Drosophila melanogaster: one gene and its partners. The protein of the gene in region 2 purifies or fractionates together with the protein of the main gene of each other region. This does not show direct contact. Each region holds a gene or a part of one and is shown on either strand. Other genes may lie near its edges. The genes, in order: Mec2, ScsbetaG, Gale and Rdh1.

Evidence for each region.
Region 1: the proteins of ScsbetaG (region 2) and Mec2 purify together in Drosophila melanogaster (affinity purification with mass spectrometry, with the first as the bait; one large-scale study listed by BioGRID). This does not show direct contact.
Region 3: the proteins of ScsbetaG (region 2) and Gale purify together in Drosophila melanogaster (affinity purification with mass spectrometry, with the first as the bait; one large-scale study listed by BioGRID). This does not show direct contact.
Region 4: the proteins of ScsbetaG (region 2) and Rdh1 purify together in Drosophila melanogaster (affinity purification with mass spectrometry, with the first as the bait; one large-scale study listed by BioGRID). This does not show direct contact.

The regions. Positions count from the first base shown.
Region 1 is NC_004354.4:19,185,470-19,191,049, reverse strand, and holds Mec2 (Mec2), read right to left. Parts: upstream 3,016-5,580; 5' UTR 2,936-3,015; coding exon 2,767-2,935; intron 2,017-2,766; coding exon 1,503-2,016; intron 1,411-1,502; coding exon 1,245-1,410; intron 1,166-1,244; coding exon 962-1,165; 3' UTR 857-961; downstream 1-856. Other genes in the region: HP1D3csd (heterochromatin protein 1D3 chromoshadow domain), read right to left, coding at 235-774; CG33253 (uncharacterized protein), read right to left, coding at 4,277-4,516, 4,607-4,772, 4,844-5,360.
Region 2 is NT_037436.4:5,560,672-5,565,902, forward strand, and holds ScsbetaG (Succinyl-coenzyme A synthetase beta subunit, GDP-forming), read right to left. Parts: upstream 3,021-5,231; 5' UTR 2,873-3,020; coding exon 2,822-2,872; intron 2,725-2,821; coding exon 2,595-2,724; intron 2,514-2,594; coding exon 2,414-2,513; intron 2,201-2,413; coding exon 1,231-2,200; 3' UTR 1,030-1,230; downstream 1-1,029. Other genes in the region: sinu (sinuous), read right to left, coding at 81-824; Sras (severas), read left to right, coding at 3,190-3,595, 3,655-4,157; bc10, read left to right, coding at 4,954-5,193.
Region 3 is NT_037436.4:646,227-652,075, reverse strand, and holds Gale (UDP-galactose 4'-epimerase), read right to left. Parts: upstream 3,522-5,849; 5' UTR 3,025-3,521; intron 2,898-3,024; 5' UTR 2,897-2,897; coding exon 2,657-2,896; intron 1,844-2,656; coding exon 1,553-1,843; intron 1,493-1,552; coding exon 971-1,492; 3' UTR 765-970; downstream 1-764. UniProt on the Drosophila melanogaster protein: Catalyzes two distinct but analogous reactions: the reversible epimerization of UDP-glucose to UDP-galactose and the reversible epimerization of UDP-N-acetylglucosamine to UDP-N-acetylgalactosamine.
Region 4 is NT_033778.4:7,663,601-7,668,542, reverse strand, and holds Rdh1 (retinol dehydrogenase 1), read right to left. Parts: upstream 2,716-4,942; 5' UTR 2,607-2,715; coding exon 2,527-2,606; intron 2,398-2,526; coding exon 2,134-2,397; intron 2,070-2,133; coding exon 1,913-2,069; intron 1,857-1,912; coding exon 1,597-1,856; intron 1,540-1,596; coding exon 1,308-1,539; 3' UTR 1,200-1,307; downstream 1-1,199. Other genes in the region: DCTN4-p62 (dynactin 4, p62 subunit), read left to right, coding at 1-1,142; CG2065 (uncharacterized protein), read right to left, coding at 3,419-3,647, 3,709-3,968, 4,034-4,190, 4,247-4,503.

The DNA of each region.
Region 1 (5,580 bases), on a different chromosome or scaffold from region 2:
TTTACAAAATAATTTGAATTACTTACAAACAATAAAAAGGATAATTTTATTTTGAAGCAAACTTATTGTTACAAGACAAAAACGAAAAAAAAAATAAAGTAATTTAACTTAAATACTGTGAGTTGATTCAAGATCTTTTAACATTTTCTTCATGGATGGATAATGATAATGGATAAAGTCAATTTGGAGATCTGCTCCAGTTATATTATAAATCCTCGGGCTTCGGAGGTTTTTTCAGTCCTGTAGCTTCAGGCTCTTAATGTAGTCAATGAGTAGCTTGGGGTGCACATGTTTGATCTCCTGAACAGGCACGGCTTCCCCCCACTTGGATCCCTTCCAGGTGACAATGAAGTAGACCGTGTCACCAAGCATATAGCTGTACATAACATTCTCAATTGCTTTGCCGCGGACCAGGAGCGCATCCGTAGGCGGCACGTTCAACGGTTGGGACTCATTGGAATTGCCGCCATCGAGATTCCCTGACACGCTGCCACCGTTGGTTGCATCCAGTTCTGCCTGTTGTACCAACAACTCGACGAGCAGCCGAGCCAGCTCTGCCCGAGCCGAATTGTGAACTCCCATGTGCTTTGGAGGCGGCGTCGAACCGGCCTCCTTGGATTCATCCTTTGTCGGCTCTTCCTGCACTTCCTCCTGCTGATCGTTCTCCTTCTGCTGATCGTTCTCCTTCTGCTGATCGTTCTCCTTCTGCTTTTCCTCCTCCGCGGGGAAACCACCTGTGTTCTTGTTGTTGGGGCTGTTTTCTTTGTCCGCCATCGTTTAGCAATAAAGTTCTCTTGCAAAAGTAAACCAAATGAATTCACGTGCAATCGTTAAATGAAAAATGGCGGCAAGTTTCCGATTGCTGAAGCTGCCAGCTAGTGCGAATTGCATTTATTAAAAAAAAAAAAAAAATGAATAAGACATTAATATTTTCAAACTCTGGCAACGCCCTAGATTCAAATCATAGGTTGGTTTTCGGCCAAGCGTCCAGTGCGTCTAAAACTATGTTATCTGACTTTTCTGGCGATTGCTTAAGTTCCGGTGGCGGGCCCATCAAGTGGGCATATTTGGCCAGATACGGAGTAAGCAGCTCCATGGGCAGAGGAAAGATAATGGTGGAGTTCTTCTCGGCGGAGATGCTGCTCAGGGTTTGCAAGTAGCGCAGCTGTGATGACAGAAAAATTCGAATGGCTGGTAATCCGTGCTCAACGATTGATTTCAGCTTTTACTAGGACAACACCCACCTGCAAGGCCGATGGACTGGCGGAAATGACATCGGATGCCTCCTTGAGCGCTGTGGCGGACTTCTTCTCACCCTCGGCGGCGATCACCTTGGCACGAGCATCACGAGCTGCCTCCGCTTCGGCGGCCATGGCACGCTGCATGGAAACGGGCAGGGAGACATCCTTGCTGTCAGCGGGTGAAGTGCATACAACGTACAGATGTTAAGAAATACTGATCTGATCTGATGGATGTCAAATGCCTACTAAATGGCTACTTACATCTCAACGCGCTCCACCATGACGCCCCACGGCTCGGTGGCCTCGTCCAACGTGGCCTGCATATTGTGGGCCAGGGTTTCGCGCTCGGTTAGCAGTTCGGACAGGTTGCGAGTGCCGACGATATTTCGGAGCGTGGTGGCCGCCAGGAGGCGAGTGGACATGCTGTAGTCCTCGACCTGGATGACCGCATAAAGGGGATCACTGATGCGATAGTAGACAACGGCGTCCACAGTGACCGTCACGGAATCCTTCGTCAGCATCTCCTGCTGCGGCACATTGAAGGTAACCGTGCGCAGGTCCACCTTGCGGTACTCATCGATGCACGGCAGGATGAAGAACATGCCGGGACCACGAGCTCCGCCGCTCAGTCTGCCCAGCCGGAAGATGATCGCCCGCTCGTACTCCGCCACCACCTTGAAGCATATGAAGATGGCGATGGGCGATGTGATGATGAAGATCAGCACGGAGAACAGGGTGACCACCCATTCCATGCAGCCCTTGGGCTCGTTCTCCGCTGCAATGGGATGTTAGGAATATGAATATGAAATATTCATCTACAAAATGGCCATATTTCAGGCATATGTGTACAATAATTGTGCCGCAAGAGAAACGTAGATAAGTCCACTTCAATTCGATGGCCAAGATGAAGTACCTTCTTTGTCCGGATTCCGAAGAGACCAACTTATTATTAAGTAAAACAGGACTATGATGGACTATGTAACAACTTGAAAAAGAGAAAGCTGTGAAAAGCAATAGCCATCACAATCAAAAAAAAGAAAACACGGATAAACACCAATCAGCCCGCTTATCTTGGAGTCCAATAAAAATTCCTACGATTAAAAATATAGACAGGTGTAATATATATGCGCCAATACAATTAGAATGTTGTAGCAATTGACGATTATGTGGGATTACGATGGAAATCAAATTGCTACTAGTACTACTTTGATAAAGCGAGAGATAGTTTGTATTTTTAGAACTCCTATCTAGTGAATACTATTAACCGAATCAAGCGGTTTTGCATGTCTGAAATATTGTAGAATGCTTTGAGCCAAAAACAAACTTTTCACGCGATCAAAATGCTGTTGCAATCTTATCTGAACCAGCGATTCCAAGAAATCGTATCTCAATCGATCTAAAGTGATTAGCGCTTGACAGTAAGCAAAGACTTGTTTTTTTTTAACAATAATAATTCTCCTAATATTGGCCGGGATGGGTCATCATCTTGCTGCATCTATAGTATACACCGTTTCCGCCCGCTTACAAGTTTTGAATCCACGATACTGCTGCGTGGTGCCGGGCACTCGAAGTGCCGGCTCGGGTGCCATGCCGGCGGCGCCCATGTTGACCATGTACGCCGTGGAGCTGGCCGGCCCAGAGTTGCGCATATCTTCGTAGTTGGCGTACACGGGCGAATCCTGGTGCGGCTCCATTGCTGTTTCTCTGCTCCGTTCTGGCCTACGTTCGTTGCTCTCCGATCGGCTATGGATTCGAAACTGTCGCCAGCGGTCAGCGCCGCAAAAGCCAAACTGAATGCCCAAAAGCGTTCTCACGTGATAAGAGCGCACTGGTTCTCTCAGATACGAAGTATCGCATTGGCATTATCGCTACGCTGAGCTGCCGAGCGGCTTAAATGCGATTCAACAGTGAGAGAAAAGAAGCACTGCACTGAAACACCACGAACCAAGTGTGCCGCCACTGAAAGAGGCGATCTCTAGTCCGTACATCCTCCACAGCAATTGAGCACATGCCATATAAGAGAATGTAATGGAATGGAATGTAAATGCATCGGCTCGTAAATTTTCGTTCAGTGTAGTGTATCTACGACCGGGGAAACACCAAGAGCCGCTCTGTAAGTCGAGAGCCATGGGTCACCACGGATGATTCACTGCACTGCGCCGAAAGAATTGCCAACTGGAGGCGTACACTTTCAGATTATTCCGACCGACGATCAATGAAAGCCGAGTAAGCTCTATCTGGCCCAAGTGCGTTTAGCACTTTAATCAATCGGTTATCTCAGCTGGAGCATTGAGACGCAGTTCTGCTTTGGGGTCACGGGTCATTGGCTGGAGCCACCCGATGGTGACTCAATTCTGATCTGGCGGTCACATTAGCACTGAAGAGCTTATCTGCCACACTCGCTGAAGTGGCATGCAAATCTGAGTTATTTAGATAAGCGAAGAGCAAATATGTACATACATATATATATATCATATATAAATGTAAATTTTGTTGTTTCGAAAAAGGGGGAAGAACTGAAAAAAAAAATGTGTTTTCTGAATCATTTGGTTTATTTAAATGGTTAGCTTTTACCCTGGTTTGTAGTTAGCTATTGTTATTAATTCTTAAGATACAAACAAATAATATTGGTTATTTTAAATATAACGTCTCTACTTAAAACGACTGTGAATGAAGAAGGAAAAGCCTTGGAAAAGCCTCAGTTACTATTGCATACTAAATTCGACATATTAGAATAAATTCTAAAAAAAAAAAATTTATTTTTAAGTCCGAACCATGTTTGAATCTCTCCAGAATCTAGGGAATTCCATGGCACTTTCATTCGAATTCATTGGTGACTCATTTTCCGGATTTTCCGGACAGTTCCGCTTTCTGTCGCTGCTGCCGCCGTTCCACTAGAGCAAGAAACCCACGATGTCGTCATCGTCATCCGCCGCTCCCGCTGCAGCCGCTCCGCTTCGCTGTTGCTTCTGCTGACGCTGCAGCTCGCAGCGATGCAGTGCCTCCAGATATGGTTGCAGCACCGACATCGAGCGTCACTGGTGGTGTTGGTGCGGGTGTCGATGGAGTGGCGTGCCAGGAGCCGCAGGATGTTGTTGTTGTTGGTGCTGATGCTGCTGCTGTTGCTGTTGCAGCTGCTGCTGGTGTTGCAGTTGCAGCTGCTGCGAGTGTGCTTGGGTATTCAGGAAGGGCGTGAGCAGCTCCATGGGCAGCGGGAAGATGATGGTCGAATTCTTCTCGGTTGAAATGCTGCTCAGTGTTTGCAAGTATCGCAACTAAGTAGAGAAGAAGATGGAACGAATGAAACCATTTGGGCCAGTTCCAAATGTCCGATGGTTGGATTCAGATGGAAGAAGATGACTCACCTGCAGGGCGGATGGACTGGCCGAGATGATCTCGGAAGCCTCGCGCAGAGCCCTCGACGACTTCATCTCGCCCTCGGCGGCAATGACCTTGGCCCGCGCCTCCCTCGCTGCCTCCGCCTCGGCGGCCATCGCCCGCTGGAGGGCAGTTGGCAAGGATACGTCCTTGCTGCAAGCGGATCATGGATAGAGTGGATCATGTCATGATCACATCACGACTTTCGGCAGTTGGCTACTCACATCTCCACGCGCTCCACCTTAACGCCCCAGGGATCGGTGGCCTCGTCCAGGGACATCTGCATGGTGTGCGAGATGGTCTCGCGTTCGGTCAGCAGCTCGGACAGATTCCTGGTGCCGAGCACATTGCGCAGCGTGGTGGCCGCCAGGAGACTCGTCGAATGGCTGTAATTGTACACCTGGATGACCGCCTTGAGGGGATCGCTGATGCGGTAGTAGACAACCGCATCTACCGTCACAGTAACCGAGTCCTTGGAGAGCACCTCCTGCGGCGGCACGTCAAAGGAGACGGTGCGCAGATCCACCGGATAGTAGTCGTCCACGCAGGGCAGCACAAAGAAGACCCCGGGACCACGGGCTCCGCCGCTGCGCAGTCGCCCCATCCGGAAGATCACCGCTCGCTCGTACTCGGAGACCACCTTGAAGCAGATGAACACCGAGATGGGAAAGGTTAGCACCATGATCAGCACGGACACCACCGTGGCCAGGATCTCCACGCAGCCCATGTCATCGTTTTCAGCTGCAAGATTTGAAGATCATCGTATGCAGTATGTAAAGTGGTATGATTGGTTATGATGATGATTAGCTGGTATGATTGTTTTTAAACTTTTGCTTAGGACAATCAATTCTCACAACATTTTGTAATATTTTGGACTTAATTTAATATTTATTATTAAAGCTTAAACAATAGATATGCAATTAATATCATTGGTTATGAAAATGGACACCATTTTTGCATT
Region 2 (5,231 bases):
GCTGCCACGGCTAAAATAGACAATGCAAGAAGGTTAAGCGACCGACCCTGACTTGGATATAGTCAAGTACTTACCATCGACTATCCGCGCACCAGCTCAAATCGCGTCTGAGATTCCTTGAACTGAATTCTCTTCTTGTGCTGCACGTGGGCTTCACTGAGGAACAAAGTAGACGCCACCAGGGTTAACACAGTACCCACACACGCCAGGATAAAGGACCAGCCAAACCAATTGTTCGCATGCTCCGGCATCCAGCCATTCCGGTTGCCAAATCCAGCGAATACAATCACTGCAATGGCTGCACTTACTCCAGCACCGAGAAGCACATATCCCAACGATTTAATGAGCGTAATGAAGTGCTTTTGATCCGGACCAGCACACAGGATGAAGACCAGTACTCCGATGGCAGATACCAACATCCCGATGAAGGCCAAAGTGTAGAAGAACTGAGTGGCTATCATGAAGGCGGGCAGCAGGAATCCACGGATCTCATCGTAACCCGTGGTAAATGGGTCATACACCCAACGGCAGCCCACGAAGAATCTCCGCTGGCTATCGTCGTTCACGTCCGGCAGCGACCGGAAGCAGTGCACCCACAATCCCAGGCGATCCAGCTTGGCGCCCGTGATGCGGTAATCACTGACCAACCAACTGGGCGTTGCAAACGCAATCACGATGAAGGCAAAGGCGAACACGAAGACGCCAACGCCACAACTTCCGGATAGTGTGCGTCTCTTCATGTTCACTGTGTGACTGTTTTGCGTGTGGCTGGTGGGCAGGTGCTCCTGGGAATCCTCGCGTGCGAAGTGGGATGGTTTTTGCATCCTTTGAGTGGGAAATTCTATTGGAATTTCGCTGGTTTCCTGGGGAAATGTTTGTTTGGTTTGCTGTTTGGGTGTGGACTGCAGTGTGGCCGCACTGGTAATACCGCAGAATACCATGGGGCCACAAAATAAATACCAAATGCTACGGTACCAATAAATTTCAAAACAGTAAATTAAACAATTTAGATTATACATTTTTTAAATTAAGAAATAAATGATTTTAAATTTAATTAATTTTTGATAGATGGCTAAGGTACTTCTTAAATCAAATAAAAAGCTTTTTATATAGAATATAACATATTTTGGTTATATTGTCGATAAAAACTTATACTTAAAAGGCCCAACCGTTGTAAATGCTAATGAGCGTCGTTTCATTCTGGAAGACATGCTCTCCTCAATCGTTCCCCTAATTAAGGGCTGCCACAGCCTTGTGGGCGGCATCATCCAAGTCACTGGCTGTCTGAATGGGCAGGCCCGAATTCTTCAGGATCTCGCGAGCCTGATTTACATTGGTGCCCTCCAGTCGCACAACCAGTGGAACATTCAGTTGCAGCTTTTTGGATGCAGCCACAATGCCATTGGCAATGGTGGCACAATTGACAATGCCGCCAAAGACATTGACCAGGATTCCCTTGACTTTCGGGTCAGCAGTGAGGATCTCGAAGGCTTTGGCCACCTGATCCTCCCTGACGCCACCGCCGACGTCCAAAAAGTTGGCGGGCTCGCCTCCATTCAGCTTGATGATGTCCATGGTGGCCATGGCCAGGCCGGCACCATTAACCAAGCAGCCAATGTTGCCATCCATGGCGACGTAGTTCAGATTGTACTTGGCCGCCTCCACTTCTCGGGGATCGGATTCCTCCTCGGTGACGTCCATGGAGAAAATATCCTTCTGACGGAACTGGGCATTGTCGTCAAAGTTGAGCTTAGCATCAACGGAGATAACTTCTCCCTTATCCGTCTCCGCCAGCGGGTTGATCTCGATCTGTACGGCATCCACAGCTTTGAAGAGAGTATAGAGTTTTTGAATTTCCTCAGCACAACGCTTTACAGAGTCTCCCTTGAACTCCAAGAACTTGGCCACCTCCAAGAGCGTCGACTCCGGTATGGGCTTGCCAATGTCTAGCGGAACAGTCTTAATTTTCTCAGGGGTTTCCTCGGCCACCGCCTCGATATCCATGCCACCGGCAGGTGAGGCAATCAGCACGGGTCCATTGTGCTCGCGGTCCAGCAAGATGCAGAGATAGGTCTCGCGGGTGATGTTGATACTGCGTGCCACCATGACCTTGTTGACCAAAATTCCCGATTTGGGCGTTTGTTTCGTTATCAGTCGGTTTCCAATCATCTGCTGGGTAAGCGAAAGCACCTCGCTCTTGCTGGCAAAATGTTAAATAATTATTAGTATAAGCTGGTCTTATCACTTGTGTTTTTAAGGTACACTCTGGCTTTCACAAACTTTTATCATTTTCAATATGGGCAGAATGATAAGATTAATCTTATATACAAATGATATTGTAGAACATAAATAATATTAATTTTTTAGATAAAATGTGAATGTGAATAGCCGGAATAGACCTAATCTATAATACTTGGTGGTGATATGGACGCCGCCTTTGAATCCGTTGTCGAAAGTTCCCTTGCCACGCCCACCGGCGAGAATCTGCGCCTTCACCACGTATTCCGGGCACTCTGAAACACAGAAGCACAGCATTTAACACCAATTAGCCCAGGGATTACATAAACACCGGCATGGTTCCGTCCTCCACTTACCAAAAGTCTTGACGACCTCGGCATCTGCCTTGGAGTTATTCAAGACCTTGAATTGCTGTATGGCCACTCCATACTTCTGGAGGAGATCCTTGCTCTGGAACTCCAGCAGATTCAGGTTGCGCACGGGAACCTATCATCGAAAGATAAACAAAGCCAAGACAAAGGTCACTTCAACTTCTCTTTTCGAAGAGTTGATATATTATAGAGGAATGTGAGTGCGAGGAAACCTTATGAACGATGTGACGGGCTGTGGTAACTGCTTTCAGTAGGAACGACATCTTGGCTGATCTGCGGTGGTAACTGAATACCTTGGCTAACTTGGTATTAATTTATTTTCGTAACTTTGTCGGTAAATTTAGTTTAAAAACACAACCGAAAATCGCCGCCGTTCCACGATGCTTATCACTGCACAATGTGACCAAGAAGCACGACTACTTTCCATGGTGATAAAAATATACCAAATGCCACTGCCATCTTGAACTAGTTCTCGCGAAGCAATGGTCTTACTGTTGCAGTCAGCTGAAAATCAGCTGTCGTTGTGTACTTTTTTTCTTCGGCTAATAGTCAGCGAAGAATGACGAATAACACAAATTGAATGAAAAACCTGAGTGAGACGGAAGCCGAAGTCACCATGCAAGAAAATGTAGTCCACGAATCATTGCCCCAGATCCCGGTGGCCACTTCGGTGAGCTGTTGCTTCGTTCTGGCTGTTCTGTACGTGGGTAGCCTCTACATCTGGAGCACCAAACACAACCGGGATCATCCAACCACGGTCAAGAGAAGATTCGCCAGTGTGTCCATGGTGATGCTGGCAGCCCCGTTCTTCGTTTACTTCTTCTCATCGCCGGAGCTGCTCAGCCGGGTACCATTTCCCAAGCTGCTCGGTTTGCGCTTGGAGGGATTGTGGCAGGCTGTTGTTATACCATACAGCCTGACGGTGCTGCTCTTCCTGGGACCCATCTTTGTCAACATGCAGAACGAGTCCGTGCGCTCCTACTTCGGTAATAGTTAAAGCCCCTCTGCCTATCAGCCCCTTCTCACTGCTTGATTTGAATTGCAGATCTGGACTACTGGAGGGGATCATTTGGCAGCATCATCTGGGTGCGCAACCATGTGATAGCACCGCTGAGCGAGGAGTTCGTGTTCCGAGCCTGCATGATGCCCCTGATCCTGCAGAGCTTTTCGCCCCTGGTCGCCGTTTTCATAACGCCGCTTTTCTTCGGAGTAGCCCACTTGCATCACATAGCCGAACGCCTGAGCTTAGGCGTGGAGTTGAGCACTGCCCTATTGATTGGACTGTTCCAGTTCATCTACACCACGCTATTTGGCTTCTATTCGGCCTTTCTATTTGCCCGTACAGGTCATGTGATGGCTCCCATCTTGGTGCACGCGTTTTGCAATCATATGGGTCTGCCGGATCTGCAGGATCTGTGGCAGCAGGATCTCTGGCGACGAGTAGTGGCCATTATTCTCTACTTAGCTGGATTTGTTGGATGGATGTTCCTGGTACCACTGGCTACCGATCCGTCGATCTATGATAACACCCTTTACTGGAATGCATAATTAAGTTAATTTGTATGTATCAACCGCTGCCATACGTCGGTTCATTCATGTGTACATAAATATTCGTGCATATATTATGTTTATATGTAAATTGCATATCCCATTCGAGCCAATTCCGCGCACAAAAAAAAGACTTCCGATGAAAAAGAAAAAAGAAAGTACAGATAAATGTATACCTAATAGTAAGTCAGTTGTACTGTTTTGTTGTTCGAGAGTACTTTTATTACAACTACTTTTGTTTGCATTTGTTTATTAAACAATTTCTTAACATTTATAAATATTATTTATTATTATTATTAAGAAAGAAATATGAATTCAAATTTAGGCGGTATTATTGGTTCCGCGCAATCACTAGTTCCAACATATCGGTATTGGGCAGCTGGTCACACTGCCACTCAGACCCACATAGGCTTATCGATAGGGCCCGATAGGCCCAGACAAGTAAATTTTGGTAAATATGTGATGATTTAAAACGACGCACAACAAGCGAGCATCTAAACGACCCGAAAATCGAGAGGTCAGCGCCAGGAGGCCCAATCGGAGGTAATCCCGCAGAGCGGCGACCCGTGCTAGAACTGGGAAAACAGATCCGCGTTCTGGTGACGTTTGTGGTCTTTGCCCAGGACTACGAATGATAGTAATTATAGAACAATTAAGACTAACCTCAACCCCCCGGGGTCATCCTGGGACACTTGCAGGCCGCGCGGAAGACCACGTCAACGCACACGCAAATAGAACCCAAATCTTAAGCAGAAATAGCAACAACAACACAACCACCCACCCAACCGCACACAGAATGTATTGCCTACAATGCCTGCTGCCCGTACTACTGATACCGAAACCCTCGAATCCGGCCCTGATGGAAACGCACGTGATGTTCATAGTCCTCTACCTGGTCGGATTCTTCCTGGAGCGAAAGCCCTGCACCATCTGCAGCCTCGTATTCCTCACAGCCGTATCCCTGATATGCTACAGTGGCGTCGGGAACTGCATATTTTGGGGCAACTGCGAGGGCCATCAATGTGAGAATGGCTAGAGGGTCAGCAGTGCGCCGCTTATCTTTCACTCCCACAC
Region 3 (5,849 bases), 4.9 Mb from region 2:
GCAGGGTCTCCACAGACTACAGCAGTATTTAAGCGGCATTTAAACTATCCCCTCCACCGCCCCTCTGGGCTACGGATCTCTTTGCCTCCTGCAACCTATGCGAATACTTAGAACTACCATATTATACATATTAATTCATTACGTATGCATATCGCACACACATGTAGCCAGACGTAAATGTAGCACCTAGTAATGCTTCTTGTTGAATTCGATTTCTTTGCCTCTCCATCACTTGTTGAACGAATCGCCAAGCTCCTAAGTGTAAAACAGATTGCCAAATACCGATACAAACAAACACTCCCAGAAACAACAGGCTCGAATATAAACAATTTTGTACTTTTATACGTGCAGACCATTCCAAAACCAAACAGAAGCAGCAGCCGAACGCAGAGTTGTTGAAAGAAACATACATTCATAGTACATACTTGTGATAAATGACTTTAACTGTGCAGATATGTGCGAAGAAGGCGCATCACTTAAGTTTAAAATTGAGTTTTTAATGTTATATTGCATTTGAATAAATGTTTGCTAAATAAATGTGCGAGTTAGACGTCTTCTTGTAACTTTGGTCAGCTTAATGTGATTATGCCATTTTTGATTAAGATCTGACAAATGGTTGATGCAGTTGTGTGTTTATTTTACCTAATGCCAAGTGTAATCTCCCAGTGCCACCTTGTCGGTGACCTTAATTACGTGATTGCGCCAATTGGCACGCGTCAATGATGCCAGCGGTCACCAAACGCGTAAATGACGGTCACAAAATTACATGACAACAGCGAAAAGCCTTTTTAATTACAAAGTACTTTGGATTACATACGCACACTTGCACACATCGAAGTGAGCGAATACTACACGAAATTTGGAAAGAAATATACACAACTAGAGGCAAATAGAAATTGCTACCTGAGCCATTATCAGGCGTAGTAACTCAGGAACTTGCGGAGCGGCAGGAACGTGGCGATATACAGCTCTACTTGTTGGCATACCCGTTTGGGTTCTGGCTCTGCCAGCGCCACGTGTCCTCGCACATCTTGTCGATGCCACGCTCGGCCTTCCAGCCCAGCTTCTTATCCGCCAACGTGGCGTCCGCATAGCAAGTGGCCACATCTCCGGACCGTCGGTCCACCAGAGTGTAGTTGACCTTCTTGCCGGAGGCCTTCTCAAACGCCTTCACCATGTCCAGCACCGAGTAGCCCACGCCGGTGCCCAAATTGTAGGCGAAAAAGCCCGTCTCCGCGATGTTGCGCAGCTTGTCCAACGCCTTTACGTGTCCCTCGGCCAGGTCCACGATGTGGATGTAATCGCGCACGCCGGTGCCGTCGTGCGTGGGAAAGTCGCTGCCGTAGACACTCAGGCTGGGACGTCGACCCACGGCCACCTGTGCGATGTAGGGCATCAGGTTGTTGGGCTCGCCGTTCGGATCCTCGCCAATCCGACCACTGATGTGGGCACCCACCGGGTTGAAGTACCGCAGCGAAACCACTGCCCAACGCTGAAAGAGCGAATTCTTTAGTACAGAACTTATGGACATCAAGAAATGACATCCTCCTACCTTGTCAGACTTGCACAGATCCTTGAGAATCTCCTCGGTGAAATATTTAGTCTTGCCGTAGGGCGATGTACAGTTGCCCGTGGGATGCTCCTCGGTCACGGGCAGGAACTTTGGCTCACCGTATACGGTGGCGCTGGAGCTGTACACGAACTTGAAGACATTGTTGTCGGCCATCGCCTCCAGCAGGACATTGGTGCCGGTCATGTTGTTGTGGTAGTACTGCAAAGGTATGCGGCAGGACTCACCCACGGCCTTCAGGGCGGCAAAGTGGGCCACCATGTCGATTTTGTGCTGAAAGGGATGTAAATATATGTACCTATTAGTTTGGGAAATCCAAATCTGTAATAACCAGCTCTTCAGTAAGCACAAGGATATTGCCTCTTATAAACGTAAAGTGCAGAATTTAATAGCAATTAAATGAAAGTATCACATTGATTTCAAGGTGATTTATTGACAAACAATTATGTGTTCTTTAAATAGCTGTTGATAGTGCTGATTAGGTAAAAAATTCCACCACAACAAATACTGCTCAATCTATTCAGTAATCAGTGCGCGTAAGCACAAAGCTGTGTGCATTTATGGTTGAATAAAAATATGAAAAAGTATCAGCTTAAGATATTTCATGGCTATTTGGGCAACAACGTGCATTTTTATAATGTTCATTACATGTAAATAAACGCTTTGTTTTTTATAAACGACGGTGGTTAACAAAAAAAACCCCTTTGATCGAACATCTCAAGAATGCGTGATAACCTGCTCGAATTAGCGAATTCTCTTGGTTATCAATGGATGTAAACACTGCAATCTGGGCTCCCGACCACCCAGATTGTAGTGTACGTGCCCGGGAGCTGTTGTGGATGTGGATGCCAGCGCACCAACTCGAATGCGACCTCGCCAAGTGGGTCTTTCATTCAGGGTCGATCAGCACGGCGGTTCGTCGGAAGTGCCCCGCCACTTGAGCAAACAACAAAACAAGCGCGAACGAGAAAAAAGCTGATAGCGCGCATGCCAGATAAGCTTGATTGAATGGTATCCAGTTGGCACATTTGCCCCAGAACCTCCGAACTGCTGACGTGCCAGCTATGTAATGCTACGTGTGCTCACCTCCTGGAAGACGGAGCGCACCTGCTCCCTGTCCGTGATGTCCACTCTATAGAAGTTGACCTTCTTGCCGGTGATTTCCTGCACCCGGCTGAGGGCCTCCGGCAGTTTGGCCCCGCTGCTGTAGGCGTTGCACAGGTTGTCCACGCAGATGACGTTGTAGCCCGCATTGAGCATCTCCAGAACCGTGTGGGAGCCAATGTAGCCGGCTCCTCCGGTGACCAGGACCGTGGGTGGGGCCATCCTAAGTGGCGAAAGGGGAAAACACACGAAATTAGGCCACACGAGTGCCCAGTTCTTATTGACGTCACCAAAATCGTTCGGCAGGCGTGCGAAATAGCCGTCTGCTTGGCGAAAAACGGGTAACTCACCTGTTTACAGGTGATTATGGTAGAGAATCCCCGCTCAGTGAATCAGATTGAGTTTAGCTAGACGCAAGAGACGTGCCCTTGAAACGATTCCGCCTCGGATTCCGATGCCTAAAAACAACGCCTCTGATCTCCGACGAGATTGCAGATGATGGTGTAGATGAAGATGCCAAAGATCGCTGACCGTTGAGTGCTATCGTGTGCTAACCCGTTTCTTGCACTCTTCCTCATTCATCTGTGTTGTCGTACGTCTGTTTTGATCTGCGGTCGCTGGCCAACTGAACTGGTGGCTCTCCACGGAGCCTATTTAACTTGTTCTCCGTTCTCCGAACGCGCACTTCTTATCAGTTTCGGTGGTTTGGTGGGCTCGGAGCTCTCCTGTCACTTTAATTCAAGTGCTAGCAGCAGGCTGACTTGGTCGACGGACGGCCGGGGTCACCTCGAAGTGCATCCTTATCGCCGCTGACCTTTGGCTCCCGATTCCATGCCCATTAATGCAATTTCCAGGTGCTCTTCACTTCGCTCTCCGAATAAAAGTAAACAAAGTGGTAGCGTTGCCACGCGACATGGCTCGTTCGACGCTGCCATATTCGCCGATTTTTCAGCTACCTGGCACAGTGGGATTCGTCTCGATAAATTTCTTGGCTGTCTATCGATATGAACAACTTAAAACAAGAAGTGCGCCCATATCGGTGTTTAAATGTGAAAACATTCTGGAGACGCGAATAGGGGTGGTAAAAAAATAGTTTTCATTATAAAGCGTATAAAATCACAAATCGTAATTAATTAAACATATGATAAGAGAATAACGCCAAATTCATAATGCAATGTAATTTTGTAACGCATTCTATCCCCAAGATAATAATCTTATATGATCTGGCATCACTGCCATGTGCTTCTGTAAAATTTACATGTAGATAAGTTGACATTTTACTTGACTGATAAACGGAGCAGATTCAAAATTAATTTTAAACTCGAAAAGCAAACGTTTGATAACAACAAACTTCAGTACAATGCGTACAACTACATCGTCATAAATAACTAGAACCGCAGTTCGGACAGCTTTTTGGTGACCCAAATTCGGTTCAAATCTTTAATGATAAGCGGAAGTGCATGTGCTCAATACGCAATGAAAAAGATCTCACAATGTTTACAACTTAATTGAGAATGTATTTGCGCAGCGACGAGTCTCTCAATGAAATGCGCCTGCTTTCGGTTCTGAATGAATGGAATGCATGAATGGGTCGAAAGCTTCGGAGCTTTAACCTAGATTGGCATTTGACCGGCTTTATCTTATGGTTTTTGGAGTGTCGATAATCGTTATTTGTTTGAATAGTTCTATCTCAGTCAATAAATCGTTTTTCTGATTATGGTTTCCGAATTCCATTTCAATTTATCGCTAAAAAAAATTGCGGCATAAGAGTCCCAAAATTAGAACAAACCGTAAAATACTGCTTCGGCATAATAATCTACATAATCATCTGGAAACGAATCGATTCTCGAATGCGGGAAAGCTCACTCGATAAGGAAGACGCAGTACATACATATACCGCAAGACCATGCTTACCGCACACCGCATGTACTACATACATACGTACATCTACATATATTTTGAGATTCTCGGGCGGCACACATATGTACATACTGACAACCGGAAATGAGTTAGTTGAACTTCCGGCATTGCTCGCCTCTGAATGGCGCTGGCCTGCAATATTTTTTTATGTGAGCGACAATAATTTGCACAGTCAGAGTCGCAGCCACAGAAACTGAACTGAAACAGAATTGGAAAGAGAAAGACAGAACGGACAAGTCTCCAAGTGGAAGTGGTCGATCCTAAAGCTACGTATTTGTACATAATGTGCTGCGGTCTAGTCTACATACATAAATATATATATATATATATGTATAGAAGCGAGCTCCCAATCCAATCCCGCCTGCACATATGGGGGAATTATCAGTTCGGTCCGAGAGTTGGATTGCTGTTATTGCTGGGGCTAAGGTTTTCGGGGGGTCTGGCCCGGCCCGTTAGCTATGTCCGTCTTCTTGTTTACTTACTGTACTTATATGTTTATTAGTATGTGATCTTTTATTTCAAACACTTTCCACTCCACGAATAGAATGCCAAACGAATAGAATTTCCTTGCTTACACTTATTGTAAATTTCGGTTATCCATCTTAATAAAACCAATTTTCCGCATTATTGTTTGTGCCCGATAATCATCTATGTATGTTCTGCGTTCCCTCAAAAGAGACCACCCCAGATAAGCACCGACTCTGGCACTTTAATTTGATCTCGGATCGGCAATGGGAAAATGAAGTAGGGAAATAGTGAAAGTGGTGCACTTTTCACATGGCCCAACGGAGACCGACTTGGAAACTGGGATCGCCCGGGCCACCATAAATGCTTATCACAAATTAAGCAATTTATACATATTTCGTGACGTTTTCTGGCAGAACCCGCATGGCCCGTCTAAAAGTTTTCAATTCCTAAATTGAAGATATGGAAAATTAAATTCAAAACGCACTTTTCTATGCGCGATCCGAAGTCGAGACTACATACATAAATTTATTACATTTATTAAATTTGTTACTTTGACTCAAAAAATTCGAAAAAATTGGACCACTCTTCTGAACTTTTCTGCCCACCTTTACTTAAGCTTATGACCTTAAGGATATTGTATTGTAACCTCATTACAAATTAAACTATATTAGAACACATAACATGAGAACCACCAATGCCACCAATATTGTATTGTTGAAATATATCTCTCTATTCATCTACTGTAATTGTAATACCCATGTTTCAATACAAAAGTACAATCTATGAA
Region 4 (4,942 bases), on a different chromosome or scaffold from region 2:
GCCGATGGACCACGCGAGATGTGGGCATTCCCGACCAAGGCGTGGCCACGGGCACCTGGCCGGATAACGAGTGCTTGTACCAGGCGCGATTTAATGCTCTGGTCGAGTACTTCCAGGCGGTGGTGCTGCAGGAGAAGCAGGAGAAACTGGAGTTCATGCGGCGCAAGGCACCCAAGCAGCACAAGTTTCCCAGTCTGACGGATCGCACTGGACTAACCGTCTCACTTATTCGCCGCCAAATCGGCTGGAACGACAAGGCTCCCAAGGCTAAAGCCGTGATAACGCCGGCAGAGGCCACGGCGGAGGTGGAGGGCCTGCCGGAGAACATTTTCACGGAACCCTTGAACTTGCGGAATGTGACAACCATCACCCAGCGACATAGCCAGCCGGCGGACCAGCCCACGGCCGTTGGGAGTCTTTATCCTCAGCGCAGGTCCCTGTGGATTAAGCGGTCGCTTCGTTGCCGCCAGTGCGAGCACAATCTAATCAAACCGGAGTACCATCCCACATCGATAAAGTACCGCATTCAGCACTTCGCCAGCTACCATGTTCCTGAAGTGGTGATGGTGCGCTGCGAGCAGCCACTGGTGGCAGGAAAAAGCAACGCCATTTTGCTGAAGCTCACGAATCCGACTATATACGATATGACAATTCGACTGTTGACTGCATCTCCTCCTGAGGATCCACAGCTGTCAACAGAGGCCACTCGTGTTGCGAAAGAGGAACCCATTTCTTCGTCCCCACTTCTAAAAGCAGTGGGCATCACACTGTCGCGTCAAAACTCAACACGGGAGGTAAAACGAGATGTGATTGATATATCCAATGCCGAAATAGTTCCGTTGGAGAGCGAGTTCGTTCTGAACCAGCGCGATGACTCGAAAGAGTTCGACGAGGACGTGCAACTGTCCACCGAGGAGCCCAAGTTTATTGTCTGGCGGAAGGGCAACAAGGTGCTTTTGCGGCTACAGTTTACCCCAGCAGAGGAGCTGTCCGGATTAGCAGACGTCGTTCTGGGCTTCTATATGCAGTACACATACGTCAACACCGTAAACAATGCGCAAGAGAAGAGGGAACCCACAACCCATGTGCTCCACTCCAGGGTGTTTATCACGGCGGGAGCAACTGAGCAGAAAGCCAACTAAACTGGAAACTTATTAGCCAACAGGCGTACTAATCGACTTATGCGAAATATGAAATATGCTTTATGAAAGCTAGAGAAATATGTATTTATTTATTAATCCGTTCGTGAAACAGCAGCTAGTATTCAAGTATAATAAAAGGCTTGTTCTAACACTATTCGTTCTTCTTTAGTTATTAGCTTCCAGCTTATCTAATCCGGTCCACTTCTCGCTCTCGGCCCACAGGAACTTGGCAACCTTATCGTCCAAGGCACCAGAAGCCACAGGCTTTGGTTTGCAGTCACTGAAGTACAGGCCAGAGATGTTCTTAAGCTCCGGATCCAAAGCAGCGTAAATCGAGGTCTGAGCTCCACTCTTCGGTGTCTTTAAAAGCGGCCAAATCATTGGCTTTAAAAAGAACCTAGGAAGGTTAACAGGTATTACTGGGAAGGTCCTAATTCACTTATTCATCACTTACTTCACAAGGTTTGTCTGGAAGAAGGCCCAGTTCCGCGCCAGCTCAGTGTCCACCACACCAGGGTGAAGGGCATTTACTGTGACTCCGCTGCCCTCCAAACGCTTGGCCAATTCCCGGGTGAACAGGACGTTGGCCAACTTGCTCTGGCTGTAGGCTAGGCCCTCATCATACGACTTCTCGCTGTTGAGGTCGGCTACGTTAATGGAGCCACGCGCATGTGCCAGACTGGACACAACGACAATGCGACTGGGAGCCGAGTTCTGAAATTTTGTAAGACCATTATCTGACGCACTTGACTATTATATAGCACACTTGCCTTCAGTACGTCGAGCAGCAAGTTAGTCAACAAAAAGTGACCAATATGATTTACTCCCAGCTGCAGTTCGTAGCCATCCTTGGTTAGGGTCTTGGGACAACGCATCACGCCGGCATTGTTGATCAGGACGTGAAGCTTGGGTTGCTCCTTCTTGAAGCTGATTGATAGGATAGGTTTTTAAATCTTACAGAGACAAGAAAATTCTCTGGAGGTAAGCTTACCCATCAACAAATTTGCGAATGGAGTCTAGGGAACTTAGGTCCAGCTCTCGAGAGAATATATTCTGGTTATTTGTCTCCTTGATGATATCCTTGCGGGCCTTTTCACATCGGTTCATATCCCTGCAAGCCAAGTACACAGTTCCCCCACGTCTGGCTATCTCCAGAGCCGTCTCCTTGCCAATGCCCGTGTTGGCACCGGTCACAATGAATACCTTTCCGGTCTCATCGGTGTCCTTCGTAAACTTTCCACCTTGCATGTACTCCCTGGAATTATCAATAGGAATTACCTGAAAAGCTGTTATCTATTACCCGGGGGAATCATAGTAGCGAGTCATGGATGCGTAGTCACACTGGTATATTTCATAATTACACGAAATAATTACCGCAACTCACTTCAAGAAGTAGATGCCCACGCCGATAGTAGCTGGCCACATAATCAAGGGGCTCAATAAGCAATCGATGAAAATGCACATTTTGAATATCTTTGTACAATTCCTTGTATTTAGGGTGTTGTCAGATCTTATTTCAATCGTTGAGTGCGTTCTGGTACGAACAGCACAGCTGTTAATATATTACTGAGCACAGCTACCCCACACAAACATATATTATCGCTAATTCGGAGTGAGAACCTGACGAAATGGAGAACGTCGGGAGAGAGATTCTTAACGAAGGTCAAGAGAAAACGAATTCTCAATAATATGTTATGATAGTGGAAAGCATTCAAACAAATAAAAGCAATTCCATTGATGTTTATATTTACTCAATGGGTATATTACGCGTGGAGTAAAAGGGTATAATAGGTTCGCTGAACAGTATGTAACATATAGAATAAAGTTTATATTTAGACTTGATCAGCAACACTAGTCAAAACGATCCATCCAGCCATATCCGTCCGTTTGAACGTCGAGATATAGGGAACTAACTGATTCGTTATGTTACATACATACTTTCCAACTAATTTAGTATACCCTCCTACTCCAGGAATAACGGGTACAAAAATAAAGCATGAATCATCCAAATTGATTCCATCACTTTTACAAAAAAAACAAAAGAATTTGACCATTTTTCTTTAGTACTGAACACAGAAATGCAACAATGTTGATCTCAAAATACAAATTTTAGATTAGGTAAAGCTTTTTTGGGAGCATTTCTTTATTTTCAGCTTGTAGAATCCGTAAGAATTCTACAATTCAAACATAAATTATTACATTTTGCGTTAGTCTTCATTATGATAAGCTATTAAAATAATAAATTATGAAATGGCGAGGGATAAACTAATGGTTGCTTAATCAACTTTGGTTGAATTCACGCCGGTCCACTTCTCGCTCTCCGCCCAGAGGAACTTTCCAGTCTTGTCGTCCTGGGCAGCTGCGGACACTTCCTTTGGCTGGCAGTCGCTAAAGTAGAGCCCGGAAACATCCTTTAGTGCAGGATCCAGGGCTGCGTAGAGAGTGGTCTGCGCTCCATTGCGAGGGGTTTTGAAGAGTACCCACAGGAGGGGCTTGAGCAGTAGCCTAAGCGATACGAGTGTTAATATCAAACTCAAGTAGTGCCCACTTATGTCTTCTATCTTACTGTGCAAAGGGGTGTTTCAGGAACTTCCAATTCCTCGACAGCTCCGTGTCCACGGCACCGGGATGTAGGGAGTTGGTTGTGACCCCCGTTCCCTCCAGGCGCTTGGCCAATTCCCGGGTGAACAGGACGTTGGCCAGCTTGCTCTGACTATAGGCACCGATTCTGCTGTACGACTTTTCACTGTTTAGGTCGGCAGTTTTAATGAAACCTTGGGTGTGCACCAGGCTGGAAACGTTCACGATGCGACTGGGTGCAGTTTTCTAGTGAGATTAAGCAGGGAGTTTGGTTAACAAGGTGCTAAGAAAGTCCTGAGTACCCAAAATACCTTCAATACGTCCAGCAGCAAGTGGGTGAGCAGGAAGTGTCCCATATGGTTGACTCCCAACTGCATTTCGAAGCCATCCTTGGTCAGTGTTCTGGGACAGTGCATAACTCCTGCATTGTTTATCAGGACATGAAGCTTATCCTGCTCTTTCTTGAATCTAATAAACGAGGGAAATCAGTAACGCATTCGTCGATCTATCATGTTTGCGTTTACCCAGCAGCGAATTTGCGAATGGATTCCAGCGAACTCAAGTCCAGTTCTCGAGAGAATATGTTCTGGTTATTTGTCTCCCTGATAATATCCTGGCGCGCCTTCTCGCACCGGTTCATATCCCGGCATGCCATGTACACAGTGCCTCCTCGCTTGGCAATCTCCAGGACCGTCTCCTTGCCAATGCCCGTGTTGGCACCGGTGACAATGAACACCTTGCCGGTCTCATCGGTCTGCTTGGTGAACTGACCGCCCTGCATGTATTTTCTGAAATTCATTAATTCTTATCACTCTATTTCAACACAGGCCGCAATTCACGAGCGTATTAATCATTACTCAGCAGTAGAACTATTCCATGCAAATACCTTAGCAAGTAGGCAGCCAGTCCGATAATGGACGGCCAAAAATGAGGGGGCAGCACAAGCAATTAGTAAGGCAGCCCATTTTGTTTGGATACAGTATAGATCTTGCCGCCGTTTGTGTTCGTTTCACTTGCTGGTTCTGTCAATGAATGTTTGCCCGTCCGTTTGGAACTGCCTTTTATACGAAATGTACGCTATCTGCTCCAAAATACACGAAAGCCACAAAACGCTTACTCACGATGAGTTTGATTCGAAACTGCGAGAGAACGAAATATGTTTGGGGTTTGCTGAGAGCTTTTTGCTTCTAGTTTATAAAAACCTCATTGCAAGTCGAGCA